Linked DNA regions of Caenorhabditis elegans. The protein of the gene in region 1 purifies or fractionates together with the protein of each later gene. This does not show direct contact. Each region holds a gene or a part of one and is shown in the gene's direction. Other genes may lie near its edges.

Evidence for each region. The genes of interacting proteins can lie anywhere in the genome.
Region 2: the proteins of sams-3 (region 1) and nhr-216 fractionate together in Caenorhabditis elegans (co-fractionation; one large-scale study listed by BioGRID). This does not show direct contact.

The regions. Positions count from the first base shown.
Region 1 is NC_003282.8:5,846,730-5,850,486, forward strand, and holds the start of sams-3 (putative S-adenosylmethionine synthase 3), read left to right. Parts: upstream 1-1,927; 5' UTR 1,928-1,958; coding exon 1,959-2,030; intron 2,031-2,075; exon of another isoform or gene 2,076-2,110; intron 2,111-2,158; coding exon 2,159-2,219; exon of another isoform or gene 2,220-2,588; coding exon 2,589-2,711; exon of another isoform or gene 2,712-2,812; coding exon 2,813-3,195; intron 3,196-3,246; coding exon 3,247-3,656; intron 3,657-3,702; coding exon 3,703-3,757. UniProt on the Caenorhabditis elegans protein: Catalyzes the formation of S-adenosylmethionine from methionine and ATP. The reaction comprises two steps that are both catalyzed by the same enzyme: formation of S-adenosylmethionine (AdoMet) and triphosphate, and subsequent hydrolysis of the triphosphate.
Region 2 is NC_003283.11:5,357,196-5,360,952, reverse strand, and holds the start of nhr-216 (Nuclear Hormone Receptor family), read left to right. Parts: upstream 1-2,080; coding exon 2,081-2,116; intron 2,117-2,727; coding exon 2,728-2,847; intron 2,848-2,896; coding exon 2,897-2,997; intron 2,998-3,757.

The DNA.
Region 1 (3,757 bases):
AACACGTGTTATTTGAAACACCACAATAATATTTATATAAATATACGATGTTTAGAAATAAGAACACTGAGGAAGTTTTACTGTCATATTTTTGAAGAACATAAATCGAGATAAGGAAAAATATATAAAAGTCTTAGAGAACAAGACAGGCGACGTTTACAATCTAGAAAAATAAATGTCTAAAACTTTCGAAATATGCGTTCGAAGATTGTACAGATGAACCGGGAACACGGACAAAAAATCTTCGGAATTGAAGTCTCGCTGAACCTTATTGAAAGCTTCAGCAGATAAAGACAACTCACTTACACTCTTCGACGATGAAACGGTCAATGTTTTTTTTAATGTTATGCACTCCGAGAAATTTTGATAAAATTTCACGTTTTCACGTGTGGATATAGCCGAGTTCACTATGTTATCACGTTTTTACTCAATTCTTTTTAAAAGTATTATTATTGCAACAAGATCATTCCCAGCCTATACTATTGTGCAGAACATCGTTTGCAAGAAAAAAAGCTGTCGAGAGGGCAAAATCGGCCTGAACAAAGTTATTGCAAAACTTTGACATACTTTTTTATGTTTGATCATACGATTTTCATCGCTCTCCTCAAATTCATATTTGTTTTTATTTCCTCTAACAGTGTAATTGTGCTAATGGATATATGATCATGAAACTATTCAATTTGCAGAAAATCAATAGACTTTGCCCTTTTGTAAAAGCGCAGAAGCTCAGTTTCCACAACATGAAAAAAGCAAATACTCTAGACTTTAGGAACGGATTATAGTAGCCATTATCAGTAATGTAAACTTTAAAAAGCAAAGGAATCAAGAAAACAGGTTCTAATTTAGAACAAATAGCAACTTGGTAAATAAGAATTGGCCTTGTACTTTTAAGTTTGTAGTCTCACTTGCTTTTTGTCATGGTGTTTTGCTCAATTATCGAGAAACTGTAAGAATGATGAAACTACTTCCAAAATGTTTAATCGTATTTAACAAACACGTGGGTTAAATAGAAAAATAAATTATATCTCAAATAGAACAGTGATTTTTCACTGAAAAAAACGGATTTTAAAGCCTTTTTAAACCTAATCAAGCAGAAAAAACAATTAATACGATATTCGATATTTTTCCGTAACTTTTCTTGTTAATTCCGATATCTAGGAATCTCATATCTCGATTATTTCGATCTATTCATGATAGGGGAAAGCTTTCAGATATTTCCAGTTTCTAATTAGCGAAACAGATCTAATCTAGAACATTTATCGCCATCCGTGAGACAGCTGTTAAATTCTAGTTTAAGGATCGGCTAAAATTCGAATAAAATGCGACGAAAATTCAAAAAAGCCAGCAGATTTATAGAAATTTGCATAGAAAATGAAGAAAATGGAAAAAAGTGTTTTTACAAGTGTCGTAATGTGTTGGGCATTGTACGTGACAGTTGCTCACGGTGTTTGCGGACTTTGACAATTTCTGGATTTTTTGGGCCTTTTTTTTGTGCATTTTTCGCATATTTGTTTCTAATTTTCACAAGAATTTTAATTAAATTTACACGAATATTTTAATTTTTCGCTAAAATAACTGCTCAACAAAGTTCCGAGCCATATATAATCTTTCTCCAGATATTTCTGTAAATGTTCATGTGTTATCCGGATTCTTTGTATTACCAGAAATTTTATTTTATTCGAAACAATTATTTACAAAAGCTATTTGAGTTTGGGAGTATGTGGCTAGTTATCGATTTTCTAATTTTCAGTTTTGGGCTCTATTATGGCTTCAAATGTTTCATTTCAAACATTTCACAGTAGTTTTATTTGCAAAAAATAATGTTTATTCAACTTGATCGTTTTGCTACGAGGTGCTCCGCCTCTTATTCGTTCCTTCTTCCCTTTCCGTTTCTATTTATTAATCCAAACCGAACCACTATTTTCAGACGAAGTGTTTCAACCTTACAACCAAACAAAATGTCGCAACACAAGTTCCTTTTCACCTCCGAATCTGTCTCTGAAGGGCATCCTGACAAGATGTGTGACCAGGTAAGTAACCAACGAAACATTAATAAGGTGCCAGGTTTTTTTTAGTTTCATGGTTTCGAAAATGCGTATATATTTTTGATGTCAGCCATTCTTCGCGTCATTTCTCAAACGAAGATTTCTATTTTCAGATCTCGGACGCTGTTCTTGATGCTCATTTGGCTCAAGATCCTCACGCAAAGGTTGCATGTGGTAAGTGGTTCAGGACTTCTTGATATCCTTCAGCGAAAGTTCAACAACAATATGGAACTGCGATGAGCAAAAGTCCTAATTATTATCCCCTAACAACGTTCAGAGATTCGGCGGAAGACATGGAAGTCAGGCGGTCACATTCAGTACACACACATCGTGTTAACATGATATTGATATTTGTGTTGTGAATTTGATTTGCAGAAGGATCAACAGTGAACTCGTACCGTTCACTGTAGTTCTTTTGCATTTATCGCCTATTCATGTCTCTGATTTCAGGCTCTACGGGTGTTGGATGATGCGGGAAACGGGGCTGAAGCTTATCGCAACAATATGTTTCTTTACCTGTTACAACGGTTACTTTGATTACAGAAACGGTGACTAAAACGGGTATGATCATGTTGTGCGGTGAGATCACCTCGAAAGCTGTCGTCGACTACCAGGTTCTCGTCCGAAACGTCATTAAGAAAATTGGATACGATGATTCCTCGAAAGGTATGAAGAATATAATTTCGTTTCTACACTATTGGCTCATCACATTGTGTCAGGAATCTCATTTTCTTGGTTTATTGATTAAATACAGTATTCAATTTCAGGATTCGATTACAAGACATGCAATGTTCTTGTTGCACTCGAACAACAATCACCTGAAATCGCTGCTGGAGTCCACGTGGACAAGGATAGTGACGATGTCGGAGCCGGAGATCAAGGAATTATGTTTGGATATGCTACTGATGAAACCGAAGAAGCGATGCCATTGACTCTTCTCTTGTCTCACAAGCTGAACCGGAAGCTTCACGAGCTCCGTAGATCTGGAGAGCTCGAATGGGTTCGTCCGGACTCGAAGACCCAAGTCACAATCGAATATGCTTCGGAAGGAGGAGCATGTGTCCCACTACGCGTCCACACTGTTGTTATCTCCACCCAACATTCTCCAGATATCAGTCTCGATGATTTGAGAAAGGAACTCATCGAAAAGGTAATTAAAAATATTAATAAAAATACAGCTATATTTATTGTTCGGTTTTAGGTTATCAAAGCTGTAATTCCTGCCAATCTCATCGACGACAAGACCATCTATCATCTCAATCCATGTGGATCATTCATTATTGGAGGACCAATGGGAGATGCTGGACTTACTGGACGTAAGATCATCGTTGATACCTACGGAGGATGGGGAGCTCACGGAGGAGGTGCTTTCTCTGGAAAAGACCCAACCAAAGTCGATCGTTCTGCCGCATATGCTGCTCGTTGGGTTGCCAAGTCACTTGTCAAATCAGGACTCTGTCGCCGTTGTCTTGTTCAAGTATCTTATGCAATCGGAGTAGCCAAACCACTTTCAGTGATGGTGTTCTCTTTCGGGACATCTGCGTTGAACGAAGGAGAACTATTGAAAATTGTCAATGACAACTTTGATTTGCGACCTGGAATGATTATTAAGTATGTCAGCCACAAACTAATATTTTTGTTAATTGTAAAGTTTCAGGGATCTCGATTTGAAGAAACCAATTTATGAACCAACCGCTGAGAACGGACACTTT
Region 2 (3,757 bases), on another chromosome or scaffold:
CCAACTTTTTTTTCAAAGTTTTTTCTTCAAAATTTTTTATTCTGAATGACGATCTTAAAATTAGTCAGAAGCTCTGTCTGATGTGAAGCGTGAGAAAAAGTCGTAATGACTCTCTATTTGGAAGTATAATACTCAAAACATTTCCAAGTCAACACAAAGTTCTGCCAGATCATTGGAATATGTCCCGTTGACTGAATTGCACCTGCCTAGACTAATGATTAGGATTTTGATCTTATTTGAAAGTGCTGCATGCTATGCAATTACTCTTTGAAGTGGAAAACATTTCCGAATCTTCAAATATGTTTTCAGGTTCAAAATGTTTTTTTTTCTACTTGAGTATCAATTATGTGCAGAAATAGAAGGGATTGGAAAAATTTGTTCTCAAGATTTGCATTTAGTTATTTTATTTATTTTTCCTTCTTTTTCCTTCTTTTCTTTGCTAGACAAAACATACACCCCGCCAGACATTCATGCCGCCTTCCGGTTATCAGCCAGCCACCCACCTAGATTCGAGATTAACTTGTTATCCATTTTTTCAGAATAACACCAAAACACGAACACTTGTTCCAATTCTCGGTGGGCTGCTAAAACAATATTCAGCCAAGTAGTAATTATGTGGAGACCAGAAGTCTAAGTGTCTACAGGTTTTTGAAACTTGGCGCTGCTCGAAAATAAGTCCTTATCTGAGACAATGATCAGTCTCTGTCTAGATATGGCTTTTGTTTCTCAAAAATTTACGTAATACAAATTTTAAGTCAGACAGAACAGAATCAAAGTGGTCTCTGAAATTTTGTTTATTTTGTTTATTTTCACATTCTGCTAGAATTATTAATCTCATAAAAATTCTGACTTTTGATAAAAATAAAGATTTCAGATTAAAATTGAACTTAGAACTTTTCAAATATTCAAAAAACTCAAAATTTCAAAACTAGGTAATTTGTTTGAGCCTGAATTCAAAAAATTCATTAAAAACTGACTATCAGAAAAAAACGAGACCTTTCCTCATTGTATTGTCTTGTGTTTTTTTAAATTTTATTCTTTATTTCACTTTCTTCAGAGGCCAAAGCCGCACCGTAATCAAAATTAATTAATTTAAAAAATTAGACAACAAAATTTTTGACAAATTCAAAAAGTGTTTTTCAGTCATTTTCGGTTATTTCGGGGCATTTTCCACTTTTTTATACAGAACCCCTATTGTCGATACTTCTAATCAATATTTTAAAAAAATATTTATTAAATCTCGTAACAAAAAAATCAAAAGCTGTATATATGAATGCCTCAAAAAATGCTCACAATTAGCAACTATTGCAAACTTTTTCCAATTTCAGAACTATTTTGGTATTTTTCAATTCTAAAGCGGCTAAACATTGTTCTGTTCAGAAATATGTAATAGATTCATTCAAATATAAATATCAAAAAAAAATAGTTGTATTCATTTTTTTTCCATCTTAGCAAGTACCAATCGCGTATTCTTCCAATACATTAAATCAAATGAAAAACCACAGACAGCACAAATATTGACCCTCTTTTCAAATCTTGATATGGAAAATCCTAATCTTTTTTCAAAAAGTCCAAAATGTCATACATCACTCTTAAGAAGTTCTTAAGTTCTGCTCCACCCATTCCAAATCCCTTTGCATTTTCAGAACAGACAAACCAACCGAATTATCAAATTATCAAGCATATTAGGCTTCCTTTCACATTTTCATCATTTTCACTTCCGATATTTTTGCACATTTTTTGTTTTTCCTGAGCTTTACGCTATTCGCAATTTTCTCAAGAGGGTATGACTTTCTGAGTCATTTTACTCATTTTACTCATTTCTCATATATATTTGACTCCAATTTTTGAAAACGAATTTTGAAGTCGCGCGGGATAAAAGATACAATTTCTTTGAGATAACATTTGTTTTCAAGAGGATTGAGCTTTCTCGGAAGCGACGAAAATTAACCATAACCCAATGGAGATAGACTCCACCCACTTCTCATCTGATCATTTATCGTATTTTACACATTCAAAAATAGGCGACAAGAATCTTCTACTCTAATTTACTGTACTCTCACTGATTTCTGTACTAAATATGCAGAGCAGCAGCAATATTTATATCGATCCAAGCGTTTGTTTATTGCTTAAAGAAAATACATTGCAAATACTGAGAAAAAGAACTTTCTTTTTTAAACAAGAATCAGAAATACGAATAGAATTTAACAATAATCCAATTTCTAAAATTTCAGAAAAACTTTAAAAGTTAGGCCCGATTGGAAAATGCCAATTTTTCCCGTTAAACTGGGGAGAAGGAAAACTTAAGCCTAAACCTAAGCCCAAAGCTAAGCCTAAGCCCAAGCTCACGCTCGCCACTGACGCCAAGTCTAAACAGGAACCCCCTGAAAAATAAAAAAAAACGGAAAATCCTAACCCTAAATATCGTCAGTGGTGACGCCAAGCCTAGGCTTAAACATAAGCCTAAGTCTTTTTAAAACCTAAAAACCTTTTTAAAACCAAAACCTAAGTCTAAGCCTAAAGCTTAGCCTAAGCCTAAGCTTAAACCTAAGGATAAGCCTTAGCTTTTTTTAAAGTCAACGGCTTCGTCATTATTAACACATCAAAAAATGTTTCGTTCTGTGTTTCAAATTTCGTCAAAATTATTTGAATAATTAGAAAACCCTATCTCCACTCTTAAAAAAACCTTTAAAACTCTAATAAGCTTCCAGAAACATAAATTTTCAGATGTATCCCCGGTACGAGTATGCGAATCTGGATATTTCCAGTTTCGAGCGGTCCCCCACATTTGAGCAGCCTCCAAGTTATCCAACATATGATCAACATGTTCAGTTCTTGCCAGAAATCGTGAGCTTAACCAATTTTGCCAGCTCTGCAAATTCAACACATTTTTCAGGAAAACAATGGGCCAAAACAAAAATGTCGGGTTTGCAATCTGGAAGCTCATGGAATGCACTTTGGAGTTCAAACTTGCCGGCCGTGCGCCGCATTTTTCCGGTAACAATAGGTGTAACTATTCACATTTTTTCGGTTTAAATTTGAACTAATCTTGCATGTCATTGTTTTTTTATTCAGAATTCTCTTTGTTTTCTCTTTTTCGTTTTCTATGTTTTCGCAAACCAATGATATTATTTTGTCAGTCCGTTCATATTCTATCACGCTGCGATAAGTTTCAAACAGAGAACAATAGGTGTCACGAGCCGACAGTGGTGAATTGGTATCTAAACAGACATATTTCACAATAATGAATTAGGCAATTTACAAAATGAATAGTTACTCATACTCGATTCTCAGACGTCTGTGCAAGTAGTCAAAACAGTTATTAGTGGATTTACAATAAGGTCTAAACCCGAAAGAAAATTTTATTATGAACTTCTGTAATGTAAAGCATTTTCAAATGATAAAACTGCCCAGTACAGCTTATTAAACGATCAAAGGAAGTTATCAGGTGCTTCACTATCAATTTTGTTCTAAAACATTTGAACTAAAATTTTAATCTGGAAATTGTTTTCTAGGCATATGTGATTCAAAAGTTTGAAGAACAATTTATGCATTTTTTTCACGTTTAAGGATACGGTAAAGTGACCATTGGGGAATTGATTTTTCAAAATTTTCAGCCAAAGTTTTGGGAAACTTTCAAAATATCTATACTATGAAAGCGGCTTTAAAAAATTTTTTCTTGAAACTCTAACTTTTTTTAAATTAATTTCAGTACCCGGAATACAACACAAAATTGCAAAAAAAAAAAATATTTTTG